Linked DNA regions of Oreochromis niloticus. The protein of the gene in region 2 interacts with the protein of the main gene of each other region in a biochemical or structural test. Links are inferred from orthologs where the notes say so. Each region holds a gene or a part of one and is shown on either strand. Other genes may lie near its edges. The genes, in order: zc3hc1 and ccnb1.

Evidence for each region.
Region 1: of the proteins of ccnb1 (region 2) and zc3hc1, one has a biochemical effect on the other in vitro, tested with the Homo sapiens proteins (3 studies listed by BioGRID, with this or other methods). The link is inferred for Oreochromis niloticus from reciprocal best matches to the Homo sapiens genes CCNB1 and ZC3HC1.

The regions. Positions count from the first base shown.
Region 1 is NC_031981.2:10,957,813-10,968,437, reverse strand, and holds zc3hc1 (zinc finger C3HC-type protein 1), read right to left. Parts: upstream 4,185-10,625; 5' UTR 4,125-4,184; coding exon 3,991-4,124; intron 3,953-3,990; exon of another isoform or gene 3,864-3,952; coding exon of another isoform or gene 3,826-3,863; intron 3,466-3,825; coding exon 3,363-3,465; intron 3,245-3,362; coding exon 3,094-3,244; intron 2,955-3,093; coding exon 2,871-2,954; intron 2,753-2,870; coding exon 2,625-2,752; intron 2,449-2,624; coding exon 2,309-2,448; intron 2,193-2,308; coding exon 1,922-2,192; intron 1,749-1,921; coding exon 1,551-1,748; intron 1,301-1,550; coding exon 1,088-1,300; intron 973-1,087; coding exon 898-972; 3' UTR 185-897; downstream 1-184. Other genes in the region: klhdc10 (kelch domain-containing protein 10), read left to right, coding at 7,183-7,273, 10,118-10,339, 10,475-10,625. UniProt on the Homo sapiens protein: Required for proper positioning of a substantial amount of TPR at the nuclear basket (NB) through interaction with TPR.
Region 2 is NC_031972.2:31,327,894-31,337,769, forward strand, and holds ccnb1 (G2/mitotic-specific cyclin-B1), read right to left. Parts: upstream 4,124-9,876; 5' UTR 3,986-4,123; coding exon 3,965-3,985; intron 3,720-3,964; coding exon 3,591-3,719; intron 2,644-3,590; coding exon 2,344-2,643; intron 2,259-2,343; coding exon 2,100-2,258; intron 1,993-2,099; coding exon 1,756-1,992; intron 1,669-1,755; coding exon 1,528-1,668; intron 957-1,527; coding exon 846-956; intron 762-845; coding exon 657-761; 3' UTR 104-656; downstream 1-103. UniProt on the Homo sapiens protein: Essential for the control of the cell cycle at the G2/M (mitosis) transition.

The DNA.
Region 1 (10,625 bases), on a different chromosome or scaffold from region 2:
ACACTTCAGCAAATAAAAATTAAAATAAACGTAAAAAAAACATTCCAAAAAAATCTTTGTGAAGCAGAGCCATCCGACACATTTGTACTGTATGCATTTTTCTTGGATTTACAATATAATTTCATTAATTTTTTGACTGGCCTTATCTTAAAAATCTCAGAAGAACGACATGCAAAGTAAAACAAACATTCAGAAGAGCAATTTATTAAACCCTTTTAGGAGCGTCTACAAAGACAAAGGTACATGCAAGAGAGTGAGAACTGCATCGGTAACGAAATATCACAGAAAATCAAGAATTTCAAACCGGGTAGCACGGATGAGAAAAAACAAAACATCACTACTCCAAAAAGATTCTGCTCTCTTCGAGGAGCTATTGTATCCATCTGGTGTTTAAGCAAAACAATACACACATAGGTACTTCCTCACAGTCTTTTTTTTTTTTTTCCCTAATCTGAGGTTAATGTTTACTGCTCTTGCAAAGAACTCAAAATACGGTAAAGGTAAACATCATCTTTCCAGTGTAGAGCCATGTGGCCCTTTCTCATGATCTTCTATATTCCACAAAAATCCAGACCATCATGTTGTCATCAAGGACTACCAAAGCAGACATTGTGGTCATGTAAATCTTGTGTAGCCGAACTGAAATGTTTTTTAAAAAGCCACAGCATTCATTCACATTTTTTACTGTTTACTGAGAACACATTCATTTGTCTAATGACACAATGAACCTTATTTGTCCTTGACAAACACTGAACAGAAACAAGACCTCAATTGATGGCTTACATTTAATAACACTTGATACTCCTGTCATTAGTAATATGGATTCTGTACCACAAACAAGAGTGGAGGTCAGTTCATCACTTCAGTGTTGCAATGCTGTTTTTGTTTGCAAAGAGTCTACTGAGATGGCGAAGAGGAAACCTGCCACTGTCGGAATATAGCAAACACCCTTTTAGATTTGTCACGGGGGCCCTGGAATAAAAAACAAACAAACAAAGCAAAAATCTGTAAATCTGTATAAATCTATCATTTACATGTTTGATGACTCTTTTCTATGAAATACAAAGATTTGAACTTTTTGTCTTGCCTGTGCTGGACTGCCTTCGTCTATACTGGAGTTCTTCTTCATGGGCATGAGGAGGTCCAGAGCAGCTTTCCAGCCCTGCTGATAAAGTCCTGAACCTTTGTCTGAAAAAGGGATAGCCCCAGGATCCACATTCTCCTTTCCTACGGAGATCCAGGGACACCATTCCCTGTGCTGAGCTAAGGGGTCAAATACATTCTTGGGCAAGGGCCCATCCTGAAATAAGAGATAGTAGGTCAACATTTGTATTATACACCTCTGCCTTAAAAAAAAAGGGAATGTTTGTCTTTCATGTTTTTAATTTAACAAAATTTCTAACTGTAATGTAAACCAAACAAAATACTCAAATTACTCTTGAAACACTGGCTGAATAACCAGGCAGGACTGTACGGATTCCCTCAGATAAAGTCTGATGCCATAATTAAAAAAACAAAACAAAAAAATCCTTAGTAATGTTAGTTCTTACAAGACCACCAGTTGATGAGAGGCACAGGCGCTTTGGAGGCAGGCTAGTAGTGCCGTCAGTCCCTGGGCCATCTCCCTGTCCTCTACTGCGAGTTGCGGGCCTCTTGCCCCTCGTCAAAGGGCTTGGCAGTTCTTCGCTGGGGCTAGGTGAGTCTCTGCTCCGGGCACGCAAGGCCACTGGGGAGGAGGTACCCTCTCCCTGTAACATACACCAAGACAGCATAGAAGCAGCTTAGTATATTCTGAAGTTTACATTCACTTGTTCTAATTGAAAGGATTAATAAGCTTGCATCATAGCTTGTGCACAGCGTGGTTTAGTGTTTTTCCAGCTAGTGGCACAACTCGGGAAATCCGCCTGGTCCTCCTCCTCACCTGGTCAGAGCGGGTGGAGTCCTGGCTCCGCAGCTTCATGCGACAAGGAGTTGTAGCAGGGCTCGGTGAGGTGGAAGTCGAATGCTCTCCCTGACCATCATTTGGGGTTGCTGAAGCAGGACTCGTTGCCCGAACAGGGGTGCCCAGTGTATTTGTTGAATTGTCCGCTTCACCTCCCATTCCTTCCATCTGATGGAAATTCCACAAGCCCACCTTGCGCATACAGTAGGAGCAGGTGAGGATCGGCAGGCTCATGGCGTGCAGAGCAGGACTAAAAAGGAGGAAAAACACTTTTTTTGTCCCATGTTTCTAAATTTTCACCCAACTTTTAATGTCAGCATATGACAACACTGATTTCTATGAAAGGAGTTTCGAGTTACATCTCACCTTGCTGCCCAACCGCAGAGAGAAACAATACATGCTGCCATCTGGATAGCCAAAGGCTCAGAGCAAGGAGTTTCTCCCTTTCTTTTTTGTTCTTCCTCAATCACCTGCAGCATACTGCTGATAACGTCCTCTGTCAAAGACTGCAAGGAAAGAGTGGCCAATAAGTATAGGTGAACGAGTGACTCAGACAACTCTTTCTATAATCTCAATAATGCATTCTTTTAAGTGTATTCTCTAATGTAAATAATATGTATAATGCTTCAAACAGCACTGGAGTCAGTATCCTAAAAAGGCTGAAGCCATTCTGCAGCTTCACCATAGACTTCAGCTGCTCCGGTTTCATTGCTGGCAGCTGCTGTGTAAGGAGACAGGCGCTCTGGAAGCGCTCCAAAAAGGCAGCAAGAAGTGTCGATGGTTCACAGGCTGGAACAAGCCAGAAGCGCTCTGAAATAAAAGGAACATTTACCATGATCATTACATGGAGAAAAATGAAAATTAAAGTTTATTCAAGTCAAATTACTTTTGCTGATATATACGTTTCATGCAAAATGCTTGCTCCCACCTGGACATGGAAAGTCAGGCCAAGGACAAAACTTTTCATGCTGTGTCTGAAGCTGCCTTGATATCTCTGCAATGCGGCTTTCATCTGTTTAAAAGAGGAGATGTGCTTCAATTTAAAAAAATTTTTTGGCAGCCTGACAATATCAACCTAACCTTGCCAAAAAAAACAAAAACAGTTTGTCCTCTAGTGTTGTTATTGTGCAGTTGCTTTAAGTTTCACTTACATTTTTCAAAGTCTAAAGTTGGCTGCAAGGATGCACATAGGAAAGCCTGGCAGCTGGAGCACTTGAGCATATCACAGCCAACACTGATCCAGCCATATCTGGCACACATCAACGGGGAAAGTATGCGTGGTTTGCCTGCCCATTTCAAACAGTGTGGTGCTAAGGGAAATTTCAACTTACATACAGCAAGGACATGTAATAATAACAATATAAAAACAAGAACTAAGATGGCTCATACGGATTCAAAATGAGGGGGAAAAAAAGGATATTGAATAGGATTCCACTCTTGAGAAAAAGGCTTCTTTGTTCGTTGCTTCGCAAGGTGCTTGAGAGCTGCTTTCCACTTCCAGGACATTCAAATCCCCTTGTACACTTAAATCATCAAAAAGGGGAAAACACATCTTCAGTATGCACACTTTTATTTACGTGATTGATAAAACAAATATAACTGGTTAAAGCTATGCGTACTTCACCTTATATGTTTCCTATTTTCATTTTATAATCTCACAATACTGAAAAGAATCGATTCGTTTAACCTAATGATGGAAGCAAAACAGCAAACTTGCAAAGTAGGGAGTTACTACCAAACTTTAGGTCCCCACCCCCTCTTATCTCTAACTGTACAGTGGCGACAATTCAGATGCTACCATAACAAACTTGCCCGATGAATACAACAATGAGAGCAAAGAAAACACAAAGGCGTGCCAGTTCATACTGCTGTTCCTAGCTTACACGCATCCAAACCTGCGGAATCTCGTTCGTCTTCTCATTATGCTGACTGAATGAAGCTAAAAGTACAGCTACCAAGCTAAGTAGCTAGGCAAACTAGCTAGCGTCAACTTGTTCTCCGTCTTTTTAAATTGAACAATGAGCGCTCTCTGATTAAAAAAATCGCACCTGTTGGAACCCACGCCTGTTGACGACACCCCCTCATTGAGAATTTCACGAACTTTTTCCGGGGAAACAATAGCAGACTTGTGTTGATTAGAATTGCCGAGACGATCCCCACGACTACCGCCGAGAGTCGCCATGATCGGCTCTGTGGTCCCACGGAAAATACACCCTGAAACCGACAGTTCCGCTTCGTGATGCTGCGAGACCACAGCGCTGCAACAACATCACTTCTTCACCGTGAACATAGCTTAAATTTCGAAAGCGTAATTCCGTAAGGCTAAGCTCATAGATTGACTGTTATTAGTGTTAAAATGAAAGGAATTATTTATTTAGTATTTAATTAAAAAATGTGATTTAAAATCTACTTTTTTGTGTGTTTTTAAATGTAGGTCCAACATTTTATTTGACTTTTTAAATTTGTTTCCATGTATTTGATTATGGATCGTTTGTTAAATATTGTTATCCAGATGCAATAAACTGCAATAAATATGCTTACAAAATTACCCCTTCTGAATTTATTGTTTTGGGCAATATTACACTATAAGATTAGTAATCCATTAATATCTTCTGCTGTAGTTTGAAGTGGAGGCTTCTTAAGACTCCATCTGATGCGGTGTAGTTTGTTGTAGAACAAAGAGCTATATAAAGGAATTTCAAATAAGTAATAGGTCTCACACAAATGTAATGGAAACATGAATATTTTCAACTATAAGGTATGCTATATAGACAAAAACAAAGTCTCTTTGAAGAAATTCTTATTTGGTGGAGTTTTGTTTTTTGTTTTTTGTTTTTTTTGCAACACATCCCACTATATACTGTTGTTAGCTCAATTCTTAGAATATTGCATCACCAGATTGTAGGAAAATGTATCTCTGTTCAAGCCAGCACAGATGTACTTTACGATCTGCAGGCATTTGAGTAAGAATGATGCGTTCTGAGGGCCCAGCATTGTCCCATTATATTTTCATCAAGGAATTTTGGATAAAAGCAGAAACATTTTTGTCCCATCTTGCTTATCTGACCATATTTTTAACATTAGGGAAGAAAATACTGCAGACATTAGTGATTGAAATTATTAACTGAAAGTATTAAATGAAATTTTACATACATGCCATCGCCTACATCACCTGCTCACTGATTTTCAACTCTCCTCCTAATCTAGTTTCCACATCTCCCACTCTGTCTTCATGGTGTGTGTCATCAACTTTCTAAACTCTGTTTTTACTACAGCTCTGCACATCACCTTTGTTCTTGAAAATCATTACCACTCAACTTATTCTCCATTCCTTAGGCATGTTCTCCAAAACTGTATTAAACAATCTGATCAAAAGCCCTCTGTCTTAAACATCTCCAGGTATGTCTTTAATAGCTGCCCCCACTTCTTACTACTCATCCTCTGCACTTCCTGATTCACTAACTGTATTCTCTCCAACTGAAAGCACATGAATAGAAAACAAAGTAAGACCTAAAACTGAACCTTGTGGTGCACCACAGGTGATGTGATCCCTAGATGATGAATAGCTACCCATGGTGACAGTTTTTTTAATGGTTTGTTTGTTTCTCCCCCCAAACATGAGAATGCCACTTCATGTTCTAAATGATAATCTGTCTCCACTCTCAGTTGTTAAAAGAAGGTAGAAAAGTGGATACTGGACTACCTCACAGAACGTCCACAGTATGTGAGGTCACAGGGCCGTGTCTCTGATACACTGGTCTGCAGTACGGGGGCCCCACAGGGAACTGTGCTGGCACCGTTCCTCTTCACCCTCTACACTGCATACTTCTCCATCAACTCCCCACGCTGCCACCTGCAGAAGTTCTCTGACGACTCTGCCATAGTTGGCCTCATCACAGGTGAGGACGACTCAGAGTACAGACAGTGGACTCTGGACTTTGTAGACTGGTGTCAGCAGAACCACCTGCTGATCAATGCCGGGAAAACCAAGGAGTTGGTGGTGAATTTCCGGAGAAGCAGACCCACCACACTGACACCGGTGAACATCCAGGGAGTGGACATTGAGATAGTGGACTCTTATAGGTACCTGGGTGTTCACCTGAATAATAAACTGGACTGGAGCCACAACACTGATGCTCTTTACAGGAAGGGTCAGAGCAGACTCTACCTGCTGAGGCGGCTGAGGTCATTTGGAGTACAGGGAGCGCTTTTAAAGACCTTCTATGACTCTGTGGTGGCATCTGTCATTTTTTACAGTGTGGTATGTTGGAGCAGCAGTTTATCGGCAGCTGAGAGGAAGAGTTTGGATAAACTCATCAGGAAGGCCAGCTCTGTTCTGGGATGCACCCTGGACCCAGTGCAGATGGTGGGAGACAGAAGGACTCTGGCCAAAATAACATCTCTGATGGACAGAGTCTCCTACCCCATGCATGTAAATGTTGCTGAACTGCAGAGCTCCTTCAGTGACAGACTGCTGCATCCTAGATGCATGAAGGAGCGTTTCCGCAGGTCCTTCCTCCCTGCAGCTGTCAGACTGTACAATCAGAACTGCTCCCAACAATCACAGATGTTTACATCTGCGCTGTAACTGCAATAAGTTAATCAACCGATTCGCACTACAACCTGGGTTTGCCTCTTATCTGTAGTTATTTATATTTAATTTAATAACTGTACAGTACTCTGTTTATAGTAACCATTGTCCTTAATGTAAATATGTAAGAAAAAATGTGTATGTTTCTGTTCTGTGTCCTGTGTACTGTTTGTTTGTATATGTGTCTTTCTGGCTGCTGTTACAACCAAATTTCCCCTTGTGGGACAATTAAAGGATTCTTCTATTCTTCTATTCTATTCTAATTGATAACCTTGACTAGGTCTGCACAGTGCAAGCAATAACAATAATATTTTTTTCATTATTTTTATTATTTAATATACAGTGGCCCCGGGGCATGCATGCATGCATATATATATAGCCTGGGAACGCCTTTTTGGCCATCCACACTCCAAGTAAAACTGTTGTGTTGTGGATACGTACCGGCAACCGCCGCCCCGCCCACCTCTAATGACGCAACGTCCTAATAACGAGTCCAGTGATTGGCCAAGTCCAATACACAGTGGGGGGAGGTAACGTTTGTGGATGTCTTCCAAACTGACTGAAACGTAAAATGATTCTACGGCTCTTATCAGATGTTGTTTTTATTTGACGTAACATTCTCCGCGATTGGATTGTAAAGGGGGAGACGATGTCGGACGCCGAATGTGCTCACAGTCCAGACCAGCTGAATAAATTCCAGAAATTGACAGGCAGGCCGCCGCACGGTGTGACGTTAGCAGGTCGGTCAAAAACATTAGCAAGATATGCTAACGACGTTACGCTTTACCTGGACGTTATCATGTCTGTACAGTCAGACTGAGTCTGTGTCATTTACATCAGCTGCTTTTTACTTTGAGTCAGGAATTTTAAACTTTGCCTTTACTCGTGCTATTTTAAAGCATTACATTCAGGCTAGCAACATCCCGCAATTCTGTTTGATTATCTTTTGATGTGTTGGGTGCGATCCTATCCAAGCTAACAGGAGAAAATAGCACATAATACTTTTGCATAGAGCTTTATCGGCTGTAGTGTGCTACAGTAAATGGTCTAATAGTGGCTGGATTGGATTTCATGGATTTAAGGTTTTATTTATAACAATTTGAAGGTTTAAGCTTTGTGTGTATCTGTGGTTTATGCTGCGGTTTGATAAAATACTTGATGGTTTAAGCGGATCACAGAGCCATGTCCACTAACAAGTTTCAAGCTCTCATTAGGTATGTTCCCAGTCATGGAGAGATTTGTTACATCTCTATTTTCCAGAAACGTATAGACAGGATATCTTCAGTATAACCTCTGCTGGCCAAAAAACAAAAAAATAAAACCCAAACATGTCTGAGATGATCTACTGTGTGTATACAATTTTCAAAGAATAGACTGCTCTTTGGTTGCTAGTTATTTCCTCTTATGCCTGTGGTAGATCCTACGTTGAGATCCTGTATACTTTTGTGTTTTACAGATACAAGCTGGTCAGGAAAGGGAAATTCTGCAGTACAAAGACCAAAACTGGTCACTCTAACAGATGCTGACATAGATCTACAGAGAAATATGATCTTGATGACTGATAATTCATTATAGACAGTTGTATAAAATACTCATGTTGTAGTTTTATTGCTCATATGAAGTTTTACAAGACAGTAGAAGCAAATAGGTGCCATAGTGTGCCTGAGTATTGATGAAACTACAATGGGTAGAAGATGGACTACAAAACGCACATCCTCCTTCGCCACAACATGTTCTGACCCTGTTGGTTTATGGAGGTCTTTTAAAAGAGAACAGTCTGTGAAAAATTCATTGTAGGCTTAAAAAGAAGAAAAATCTAGGGCCAGGTGTACTAACGTCTACAGCAGCACAAAGCCTTCTTTTGACATTAAAAAGCTGCTGGATTTACAAAAGAGACTAAGTGTCAGTATGTGAACAGGAGGGTTTTTTTTGAGGCTGGTATTATGCCAAATGTATTTGTATTTTCACTTTCAGGAGGAGAATATTTAAATGAGTCACACCAGTGTAAATTACAAAGTCTTCGTAACACAATTTACTGCAAATTGCACAAACTTTAATGCTGGGGGGGGGGGGAGTTGTGTTTGGGAAAAAAAAATTGTGTGCGTGTTTAGAGGCAAACCCCAATTGTTGAATCTGTAACCAATAAAAGGTTTGGTGAGTTAAATTAATGCTTAAATGTTGCAATGTGCTATTAAAACTAAAAGGCGAAGTGCACATTCACACACATGGGATAGTAACATAGCAACTGAGATGGCTCATCATCTGACTGTAAATAATGTTTTGTGGTCTTCTGCACACCGTACAGGTCAGCTGTTCCACACAGATTTCAGGTTTATAGGGTGGGACAGTTTTTAATAATGCAGTTCTCCTCTCGATCAATCTTGCGCTGCACCTGAGTCCTAATCATTAGAACCCTTTGCACAGTGCTGAGAAATAACTCTTCTATCAGATCAGCATATTCATTTTCATTCAGCTTCGTCTCATTTATCATGATTGCCTTGCTGTTTTCAGAGAAAAACACTTCCATGAAACCTGAGCTTAAACTGGATTATTTTAGTTAGCAGGTATGCAGCGCTCTGCCTAACGCTCCTTCCTCTGGATTTTTGGGGCCACTAATTTGCATTCTTTCTACAAATTTTTTATTTTTTTTTACTGAGGTGAACTGGCTGCATCTTTGTATATAAATTACAGCACATTGTTAGTAAATTACCCTGTAACTGCGGCTTCACAGTAATTTGCCTCACTTAGTATATCTATCCAATAGCACATAAGAAATTAAATGTAAGAAAATAGGGGGTTTTTTTTCTCTTCTGTGTAACTCCTTTCCTCCTCTCGGTTAAGGATTTCTGCGACTGCATTAAAATTCCCTCCATCAATCATGTATCCCAGCTGACCTGAAGTAAAAATTATTTATGATAATCCTAAAGACTGCAATACAGTAAAGGAAATTAGTAATGAATGCTGATTGTACTGAACCTTAAGCACATTCTTATCAGTTAACATAGATCATAATCTTGAGCTTATATAGCGTTCTTGGTCTAATGCCTTTATGTTTCTTCCCAATTTCCAGTAAATGTCCTACAACGACTCTTGTAATGCAGAATTTCTCATAGTTATCAATATGAAAGTTGACATGTTATGTGTATAACCGGTAGAGCATTAGTCAGGTTGGATCTATAACTAGTCTCAAGTTCTAAAAAGCGTTTGACTTTTTAGATGCATATGCAGGTGACACTCTAACGCTTTAATTGATTTAATTGTGATATGTGATATGACCACGGCATATCACTATTATTACAAGTACTTTTATTACTTTTGGATAATGTTTTTTATATAGCTTTACAATGTCACATTTTATTTTTTTCTGTCAGTTTTTAAAAAGAATGTTTGTTTTATCTGGTTAAGCAGTGTCAAAGTTCAAATCATGCATAAAATTAAGAGCAGCATTTAGCTCAAGTAGTAGCTTTTTGCACGTAGAAGGAAATGATAATGGTTTGAGCAAAGTGGAGAAGAGACAATCTTTGTCAGGATGGTCCTCCTCGTCCTCATTTTTAGGATTTGTTTGGTTTTTTTTCTATTTCCAGGGCATCGAACACCACCTGCCCGCAGTGGGCACCGCTGCGTCGCTGACAACACTAACCTGTATGTGTTTGGTGGGTACAACCCCGACTACGATGAGTCAGGAGGCTCAGAGAATGAAGACTATCCACTTTTCAGGGAGCTATGGAGGTATCATTTTGCAACAGGCTGCTGGCAGCAGATCCGGACAGAGGGCTACATGCCCACAGAGCTGGCATCAATGTCAGGTGAAGCATTGTGTATTTAGTACTTCTGAGAATTTTACTAGTGTTTACACATTGTTGGTATTTCATACAAAAAAACCCACAAAAAACCCCAAAACATGTATGAAAATCAAGTTTGGGGTTGCTGTTTTTCTGCAGCTGTTTTGCACGGTAACAACCTCCTGGTGTTTGGGGGCACCGGAATCCCCTTTGGTGAAAATAATGGCAATGATGTTCACGTTTGTAACGTGAAGTACAAACGATGGTCGCTGCTCAACTGTCGAGGGAAGAAGCCCAACAGAATCTATGG
Region 2 (9,876 bases):
CGTGGGCACTGTGACAACTTCAGTTGCCTTAATGCACTTCAGCTTTAAAATGCTTGTCTCACAGCAGCCTCTAGTGGAGATCACAAGGAACAAGGCAAGCAGCTTTCTGGTCAAAGCCATTTAATAAATCCTTTAAGAACAAAATAGTAAGAACGCAAAAACTGATTTAAAAAGTATTGCTGTACATTTTACACACCAACACATCCACTGAAGAAATTTTTAAAAAGTGACATTTCACATTGCTGACCATTTAAGTCATACCACAAGTTTTAGATTAAACACCTGAGCAGCAGTTTAGAGATGTGCATTAGACTTAAAGTTGTGTAAGGTCATAGAGGTCTTCAGGCCTAGTACGATTAGTGCATGAGTACTTGTGAATAAGTGGGGAAAAAACCAAAAACAAAAAACTGTTGCCTTGCACTAGTCTGAACATAGCCCAGCTGTCAATCTTATAAGACAGAACTCCCATTTTGTTGCTCAGGTCAAACTTAACTTGTGGCATGCTTTGGGCAGGCTGTAAAAATACACACCCTCAGTCTTTAAAAAGAAAAAAATAGTAAACTAGTGACATCCTTGGTGTGCGGATCCTTGGTCAGGTTAAAAAGTTAAATTACATCTGTACAAATCAGCACATGGTGCCAAGGACATCTGTCATCTCACTGTGTGACCTGCTTTGCCAGGTCCTTAACCACTGACGATTTGAGCTGCGAGATGTTGGCAATCCTCATCTGCTTTGAGGTGGAGTATTTTCCTTTGATGGCCTGCAGAGACAGTGAGGTTAGGTCTTGTCAAGTTCAACATTAGTTTAAATTTGAAGACTTATCCTGATTGGATGAGAAGCTTACCATGTGCTTGGTCAGCCCATTATTCACTTTGACGACGTTCTTGGCGATGTGTGCCATAACAGGAATCAAACTCTCTGCTGTGTAGTCCATGTAGTGCTGCAGCGTCACATCCTGGAAAGACAATTTAAATGCATCTGTTTAGGATTTGCTAATCAAGATGTGCATGAGTCACATAATATACAAGTTAATTTACTGATCTAGATGTACAAACAACTCCTTTACATAAAGCAAAGCCTTTTGATATTTAAACTTATCCAAGGAGTCCTTTTTACAAATATGAAAGTTTCTCATGACCGTTCCATAAAACCCATTGTTGCAATTTTGCAACCATAACCTGCACAAGTTTATTCTTGCAATCATGTCAGACACTTGTGTAGGTTCTGCATAGATTCAGCTCAGAAGTCTAAAGTCAGGGATAAGCAAAGGCCAGACAAGCTTTGTTGCACCCATATCATTTAATTTGCCAGGAAGTGCAATAAGTTAACAATGCCACTTCAGCTTTATGCCAACTATTTGTTGCACTCAATTATGGATTACACTCTTGACATTGTTTCATAGGTCTGTTCTTAAAAGAGAACGACTTGAATACTTCAGACCTAGTTGTCGTTTTAGCAAGGGCACCAAGTACACTTTTTTTCTCCCCCAGACACCAAAACCTTCGAGACCCTTCAGATGCACTTACCCATTCTCCAGCATCCAATATTTTGAGGGTGAGTGCCAAAGCGGCACTTGCCACCATTGAAGGTGGTAAATGGACCATCTCGTAGTCAACCATTGTGAGCTCCAGGAGATACTTGGCCAGAGTGTGCTGCTCGGCAGTTACCTGTGAAGAGATGCACGAGAAGTTGATGCACGAACACTTAAACTGTAACCCATCAGCACTTCCTGTGACACCAGATATGCTGCAAACCTCATAAATTTTGGAGGCCCTTCTGAGGAACTGCAGGGGGAGAGGACGACCCAGTTGGAACTTCAGCACCCGCAGAATGGTCATCTCCATATCTCTGATTTGGGCTGTGGTGTAGGCCCTGTCTGTGACGTAGGCGAAGTCTGAGATCTCTGGGGGATACATCTCCTCATACTTTGAAGCAAGGAACATGGCAGTCACTCCAACAAGCTGCAGCTGTTTCTTGGGGACTGGATGGTCCTGTTGGGAGGTATAGTCACCATTAGTGAGATGAAAACCATGAAAGGTGGAACGGTGTAGTGGAGGACTAACAGCATTTATAAGTAGAAGAACCAGGATTCACTCACCTGAAGAAAGCGGTCAATGATGCCCACGGTCATGTACATAGTCTCCTGCAGCAGACGAAACTTCAGATTTACTTGCACGAGCCAGTCAATGAGAATGGCCCTCATGTTGCCTGTCACTTCCTGACCCTGCAGATAGTTTGGTCTGACATTCTGTTCAACCTGAGTAGACAAAAAATGGTTAGTGCTCTTTGGGGAAAGTAGCCCAAGATTCCCACTTTAAATTCCTTTATTTTAAGTTGCTTGCCTCAAGCTGGCGGAGATATTTGTAGATGTCCTTCACATATTCACTGCAGAGCATGGGGTTGTCATAGTCATCTGCGTCGACGTCCCTGATAGCAGTGTGCAGAATGACATCTGAAAACGCTTGGCATAGGTCTGCAGGCTCGCAGCCAGAGGTCTCCATTGGTGTGGGAGATGCCGGCTCGGGTGGGGCCTGCACCTCTGGCTCAGGTTTAACAGAAATGACATCTTTTGGCTTGATCTGTTCAGCCTTTTCAGCTCTGGTTGTAACTTTGGTCTTCTTGAGGGCTTCAGTCTTTACAGTCTAAGGGAAAGCACGTTAAAGCCAGAAATGTCAGTAGTCTGAAAAGGCTAAATAATCTTAATATAGAACCAATTCAGTGGTACTTTCAAATAGAGATCGGTTCCCAGCATGATTGGGCCTCATTTAAACAATCTAGCAATTATGCAATTTCATTTTAAGCTGTGGTTCCTCTTCCGTCTAGAGCTTTGAGTTTTGCCAGACAAATTACAACCAAAACCCACTGAGTGTTTTTCCCAGCACGCTCTTAATTGGAAGACTCACAGCAGGAAGCATGCTAACAAACTCCTGCAGGCATGTTATGCTGCTATTTTAATGTAGCCCAAAAGAGGGCGACATGCAAGTGTGAGTTCTCTTGTTATCAATGCCCCCATTTAAGCAGCAGTCCTGCAGCCATCTGAAGTGCTCCCTAAGGTTAAAATAAAGTTTTAAGACAATCACTTAGGCCCTCTGAATTTTAGTCTAAACAGCACTTAGTTATGCACCACGTTAAGTCAGTTTAAGTCAATCATCTGAGCACATTGTACTCTCAGGGGTTTTCCTGTTCTGTTTGAGATTAAGTATATTTTTAAATTAGAGAATCTAAGCAGGAAAATGTGTAGGCTTCTTTTAGAGCAAGAGGCTAAATGCTGACTAATAACTGGTTCCATGTGTAGTCAAGGCCCAGTGTGCCAGGGGAAAAACAAGTTTAAAAGAACACTTTCATACCCTAACAGGAAGTTGTTTCTGAAGAAACTTGTAAACCAGTTTTATTTTGTCCACCTTAGCCACCGATTTGACTCAATTCAGCATTTTGTGCCCGTTGTTTCAAGTGTGGCCCCACTCGGGCCATTTTAACCATTTGGACATCAGAGCTGGAAGTCACTGTGCCCATATGATTTCACTGCAAAATCCCACCATTTTCCATAGATTTAACAGAAAAACATTTAATTTCAGGATCAAATACTTACCTTTTTCTGTGTGTCTTTGTTAACTGCGATGTTACCAATTTCCCCCAGGGCTGCTCGTGGCTTCTGCGTGGGCCCAGACACAGAACAGGCCTTCCCACCGAGGTCGACCTTGGTGGAAGCCAAGCGATTCTGCAGGAAAAAGAGAAAAAAGAAAATCCACAATGATTATAGTAGTTTGCACGCTTTTATCTTTTAGTTAAGCGGAAACCCTTATTATCGACCTGCTCCATGATAAGAAATCCCAAAGCGACAAACGAAAGCTACGTTTTTGTTTTGGTTTTTTTTAAGCAAAAGACTTAAAGAAAGCGCTTCTAAATGTTTCCCCAGATGCAACGATTAAATAAAAGCAACAAATAGAGATGAAAAAGTCTAACCCGGGTCACTCTCAGAGCCATTTCGAAACAAGCGATGCTTCAACAAACAGGCGAAGAGTCGTAATGGAGAACGGTATGGTATAGATACAAGGAACAGCGAGCGAGGTTTAAATCCTCGCTCGCTGATAGCTGATTCGCTGACCTAAGACTCTCCTTGGCGTCTGATTGGTCGAACGCACCTGTTTGAAATGCGTTCCCCGGACAACTTATGGTCACGTGATTTGATTTCTTGATGTTCATTTCCTTTTCCTGTTACGTCCTGCTTTTTCTCTTTTTCTTTTTTTCTCTGCATTTCAAGTAAATAAATTAATAAGAAGTCACTTTAGGAGGGAGAGGAAATCAAATCTAAAAGTGTATTTTATCGTTATACTTTAAATTCTATTGCCTCAAATTCGTTCAGAACACAATTTCTTTCATTTTGAGTATGATAGACCTTCTTTAACATGATATTTTTGATAGCTCTTTTATTTCATTTAGTGTAATAAAAGTCAATTTCTACCATACAAAGTTGCCTTAGTACATGAGACATCTAAGAGTAAAAATGCCTTCTTGAACGATAGAGGCTGGTTTTGCTTTTATTTTTCTGTTATAGCTTCTAAAAGTCTACATTTCAGATGGAATTTCTCACACAACTCACAATATAACAGTTTACTTTTGTCATCCATTAAATAAGCTACAGTATTTATCGCTTTAGATCTCCGTGTATCTTTAAATGCCTTTGTTCACCAAGTAAAACATATCCACTTAGCAAAAAGTAGATACACTCTGCTTTTTCACTTGGATACATAAATGTAAAGTTGACTCTTATCTCCTTGGCAATAAGTAGATGCATTCTACAACCCAAATTACAAAATATCAAAATAAATAAATGTGTAAAATATAAATAACAACAGAATGCAATAAGATGCACATCATATATATCCATATTATATTTACACCAGAACACAGGAAACATAAACGTACCATTTTACCAAAAAATAAGGTTCTTTTGAATTTGATGGGAGGAACACTTTTCAAAAAAAAAGTTGGGACAACAAAAGCTGAGACACCAAAAGGCTGGAAAAACAGCTAGTGTAAGATTTTATGTTAATAAAAAAAAAGTTAGTTGTCAACAGGTTAGTAACATGACAGGGTACGAAAAGAGCATTTTAGAGAAGTAGAATTTCAAAGAAGTAAAGATGGGCACAGGTTCACTAATGTGCAGCAAACTGCATTTACAAATTGTGGAGCACTTTCAGATTAAAGTTACTCGTTGTGAAATTGTGAAGGTCATCATCTACAGTGCATACTATAATATTATGAAAAAGCTCAGAGACTCTACAGACTCATGTCTGTGGCACTGGACAAGGCTGTGAATCAATACTGAATAGATGTGATCTTTGGGCCCTCAAGCAGCACCACATTAAAAACAGGCATGATTCTGTCATGGGAATCATTGCATGAGTTCATGAACACTTCCAGAAATCAATGTCTGTAAACACAGTTCACTGTGTCATCCACAAATTCAGGTTCAAGCCCTATCATGAAAGAAGGGTACAAGTCATCCATATCATGGCAGTCTCAAGTGCTTGAAAAGAAGGCGACTGGGCTTCTTATTGGTCATCCAAGAGGTTTCTTCAGTTCTAAAACAAGTGACGTAGAGTCCCAGTGGTTTGATCCAGGATGGTTTTTGTTCTCTTGGAGGTCGTCCTTGTGGTTGTTGCCACGATATCAGTCATGTGAGTTTTCCTACTGTGAAAAAAGGCCTGGACCATTACCATCACTGGTGCCAAGGTGTGAAACTCTGTAAAACATTGTCCCAGTATGCTGTCCTGTGAGCTACTGAGGTCATTTGAGGCAAGGTGCCAGTTGAAAACATTAGACCCATTATGAAAAAGTACAATAAAGACCCAGGGCTCTTGAGCAGCTGGAATCACAATGAGACCTCACCAAAAGTCCAGTAACCTTATATGTACTTTGCACTTTACTCAAGAAAGAGTGGCAGTGATGGGAAGGCTGCTCCAGTGACGTACTGTGTAGTTTTTCTCACACGCTGGAGAGCCTTCCTGTCCTGAACAGTGCAGCCTCCACACCACACTGTAACTGAGGCAGCGATGATGCTCTTAGCTCTACATGTATAAAAGTTTCTGGTTGACATGCCAAATTTCCAACAGTCGTCTAAGAATTTTTCAGAAGGTGCTCAGTGTTTTGAGACCAAGTAAGAGAGGAATTTAAAGGGTTTTACTCTCTATATCTCTGCCTCAGTGATGTAATCATTTCTTTGGTCTTATCTACATCTAGAGAATTATTATTTCTTGACACCACACCGCCAGTCCTGACACTTCTATGTATGGCTGGGCCATATTATACCGTTCACGGTAATACCTGTATAATGTTAGGCAATGATAAGAAAAGGAAATATCCCGTTTGAATATGGGTAAACGCGCATGCGCAGTGCCTCTGTTTTCATAAGCACATGTTTTGGTAGAGCATGCAAGCGGGCCGTCGTTATTACCGTTATTACCGATATTACCGAACCGATTTTAGGTGGTACACGGCGGTCAAAAATCTGTCAAAAAATGTTTTAGTACGACTTTCGTAAACTATGAAGCCGCACTGCTTGATGGATTGTCGGAGCATTACGGCTACCGTAGTCGGGATCCTCGCAGAGTAATATGTACTGTGCTTCAACATAATATTACCGCATTGTGTGTGTATAACCTCTTTTTAAGTTTTGTGGTTATTAAACATGGTATTGCTCAGGATATGTTGGCCAGTTTCCCCTGGAAATGCCCTTTGGTTAAACTGTCAGCAAGGAATTTGCATTTGCACTGTTACATTTTATATAGCTTCAATGCACATAAAAAACAGCTGCTTGTTTAAGTGAAAATACATTGATGGGGTTTTTTTTGCACTAATAAAGTTGTGGAGTTGTAAAGTAATTTGTCTTGCGTCAATTATATCGTCAGTTATATCGTTATCGCAAATTTTCAAATATATATCGTGATAAATATTTTTGGCCATATTGCCCTGCCCTACTTCTATGTCGCTGCCTCTCCATCAGCGAACAACCCAATGAGCACTTGGAGAGACTCCCAGAGCTAAGTGAGTGAGGAGAGTTGGATTGTTTGGATGCTCATTTCCCTGGATCCCTGGAGCCCCTGTTTTCCTCCCATCACTACCTTTATGTATCAACCTGGTGTTTCTGCTGTAAATAAATGCACTAAACTTGACTCATGAATGCTGTAATTGAGTCAACTCTGCCCAGTGTTTTTGATCACTAACAAGACATTCACAGGTTTTACAAGAATGTACAAGACGTACACTGTAGAACCTTTAGAGTCACTTATTAAAATATTTAGTAAGTATATTTGATCTTGTGTGTGTGAATGTTTGTGTGAATGGGTGGATGACTGGATGTGTAAAGCGCTTTGGGGTCCTTAGGGACTAGTAAGGCACTATACAAATACAGGCCATTTACCATTTACCATTTGTGTGAATTTAAATCTAAAATAAATTCAGACTTGTGAACCCAGTTTTTGTTTTTAAACAAAAAGAGTTACACTGTAAAATTATAAAAAGTTCAAATAAGTCATTAAAAGCACACAATTACCTTGACATTCATGTTCATAATTTGTGTATTTAAACTTCTGACAAAAACTGCTACATGTTCCTCAGTGTGTGAGGGTGTCATCAGTGTACCGGTTCTGTCTGTCTGTATGTATATTAGGAAGAGTCCAAAGTGGTCCTTTTAATGCTGGTCAAGACCAGTGTTTACCACTTTTAAAAAGAAATCACTACAGCAGCACCTGTGGAAGTTTGGATGTGTCATGTTTTGTACTGTTTTGTTTTTGTCTGCTCTCATTACTTTTAGTGCTGTGTTGATGTTTTGAAATCTGTTTTCCTACATAGATGTTTGCTTATGTGGGGTAAGGGTATGTTTGTAGAAACCAGGACTGCTCTGTCCTGAAATCTTTAGTGGCTCTTCGCCAACAACCCTGCCCTCCAATCAGAAGATCACAATTTCCATGACGTGTACCGGAAGGCAGGGAGGACGCAAACGTAACACGTAAAACTAAACAGATGCCACTACCTCTCCTAGACTGAAGACGTCAGCGGGAGCAACTAACATCACTCCCAGGCGGAGAGAGGACCGAAAAGAAAAGGGCACAAGCGACGATTAAACCTAGACGGCCCTAGTTAGTCAGCTACAAGAGAAATTCAGGTGTTTTTGTTAGCCGAAAAAACAGCGTTTCTGTGGCACAAAAAGGTAAGCCAACACCGAGTAGTTAAACCGCAGTCTGCTGGTTAGTAACTTAGTTGTTTCGGGAAGTGTCTCAGCCTAGGACTAATTGTAGCTACAAACCATTTAAAAAGCACATTTTCCAAAACGAGTAACGTCGACGTTGGTGTAAAATTGGCTTACTTAATTAGTGAGGATTAAAGAGTGACTGTCTGGCTGCTTAACACGTGTCCTTAAAAAGTTTTCCAACGGCAAGACTACACGTTAAATAGGTTTAAGAGGCTGTATAGCTGCTAAACCTGACATTAACCTTACAGCTATTTAAAAACCGATCCGTCTCCTTTCTAAAAATCTCCTTTTTCCAACTTAAAGCTATCCGCAGCTCTGAATTTTCCTAGTTTGTGTCTAATTAGCATCGATATTTTAACAGTTATTTTTAGCGTGTATTTTGTCCCTTTGTTTCTCTTATTTAAGAGTCGTAGAGACTTCTGTTTATAACATTTTTGGTGCTTCAAAACAAACAACAAAAGCGAACAAAGCAAACTAGTCGTGCTAAGCTTGCTAGCTGCAGGCAGCCTTTAGCATGCTAACGGGGAGATCGGGAGAGTCGTACTTAGCAAGGAGTCTGTTTTTAGTATTTCTAAGTAACCCTTTTAACCGCAGCTTCACCTTGAAAAATACCCACAGTGTTACCAAGCACCACGATGAATAATTATTTGTTTAATTTTTGGTTTTAAAAAGGGGTTTAAAACGCCAGCAGCGTGCATTAGCTTGCTAGCATGACTCAGTGGATTTGTAGAAGTAAAACGGCGGTGTGGCCCTGTTTGTGTGCTTTGAAGTAGTTGAAGATGAAGGATATTTGCTCACCTGACTGAGCCCTTGGGGGATATATAAATGCATGTTTAGCTCCGGGATTAAGGCAGAAGTAGGGCTGAGGAGTGACTCGCCTTTTGTCTGGGTGATAAACGTACTCACAGGTGTTGTGATGAATTTTTATGGTTACCCCTGTGTTTAAATTCCTCCACCTGCATGTTCCAGCAAAGTGTGTGTGGGCTGCTTATGTTTAAGGAGAAACCTTGGCTCTGACGCGGATACAGATTTTTAGGCACGATTCCAGCTCTGGCTCTGGCTGCAGGACTCCTGAGGTTGTCTATAAATAGATGTGTTCACAGCCTTGGTGTATTGAGGTAACTCGTGTGTGTGGTGTGTGTGTGTCTGTCACATTGCACTCCTGTGACAGTGGAAAGCCCTCATGCTCATGTCCATGTGAGCCTGGCTGGAAGTGGAGCTCTGCAGTCACGCACACGTGAAGCTGCACATTGCAGTGGTCTGTTACTATCCACAGTTTTGGGGAAGAGGAGAAAGACTAGTGTAACTCACCAGAATATGAACTTAGCGATGTCAATTCTTCCCTTTTTGCTTCTACTGTGTACAAATTGTAACTGTAGACAGCTGATTTCCCCTGAAGCAGTATCTTCACAACTTCCTTTAAAAATGTTTGTCATCACAAGGCTGCTGCAGACTAGACTAAACTTGGCGGGCAGGAAGCTGTTCTCAGCTTTGAGGAAGAGAATTTGCATTTTTATTATACAGTCTGTTTTCTTTCTTCATCCTTTTTTTTTTTTATTAGTATAAAAGCATTTTAGTATTTTGTGAATTTAGATGTTCTTTCTTGAATTCTCTGTAGTTG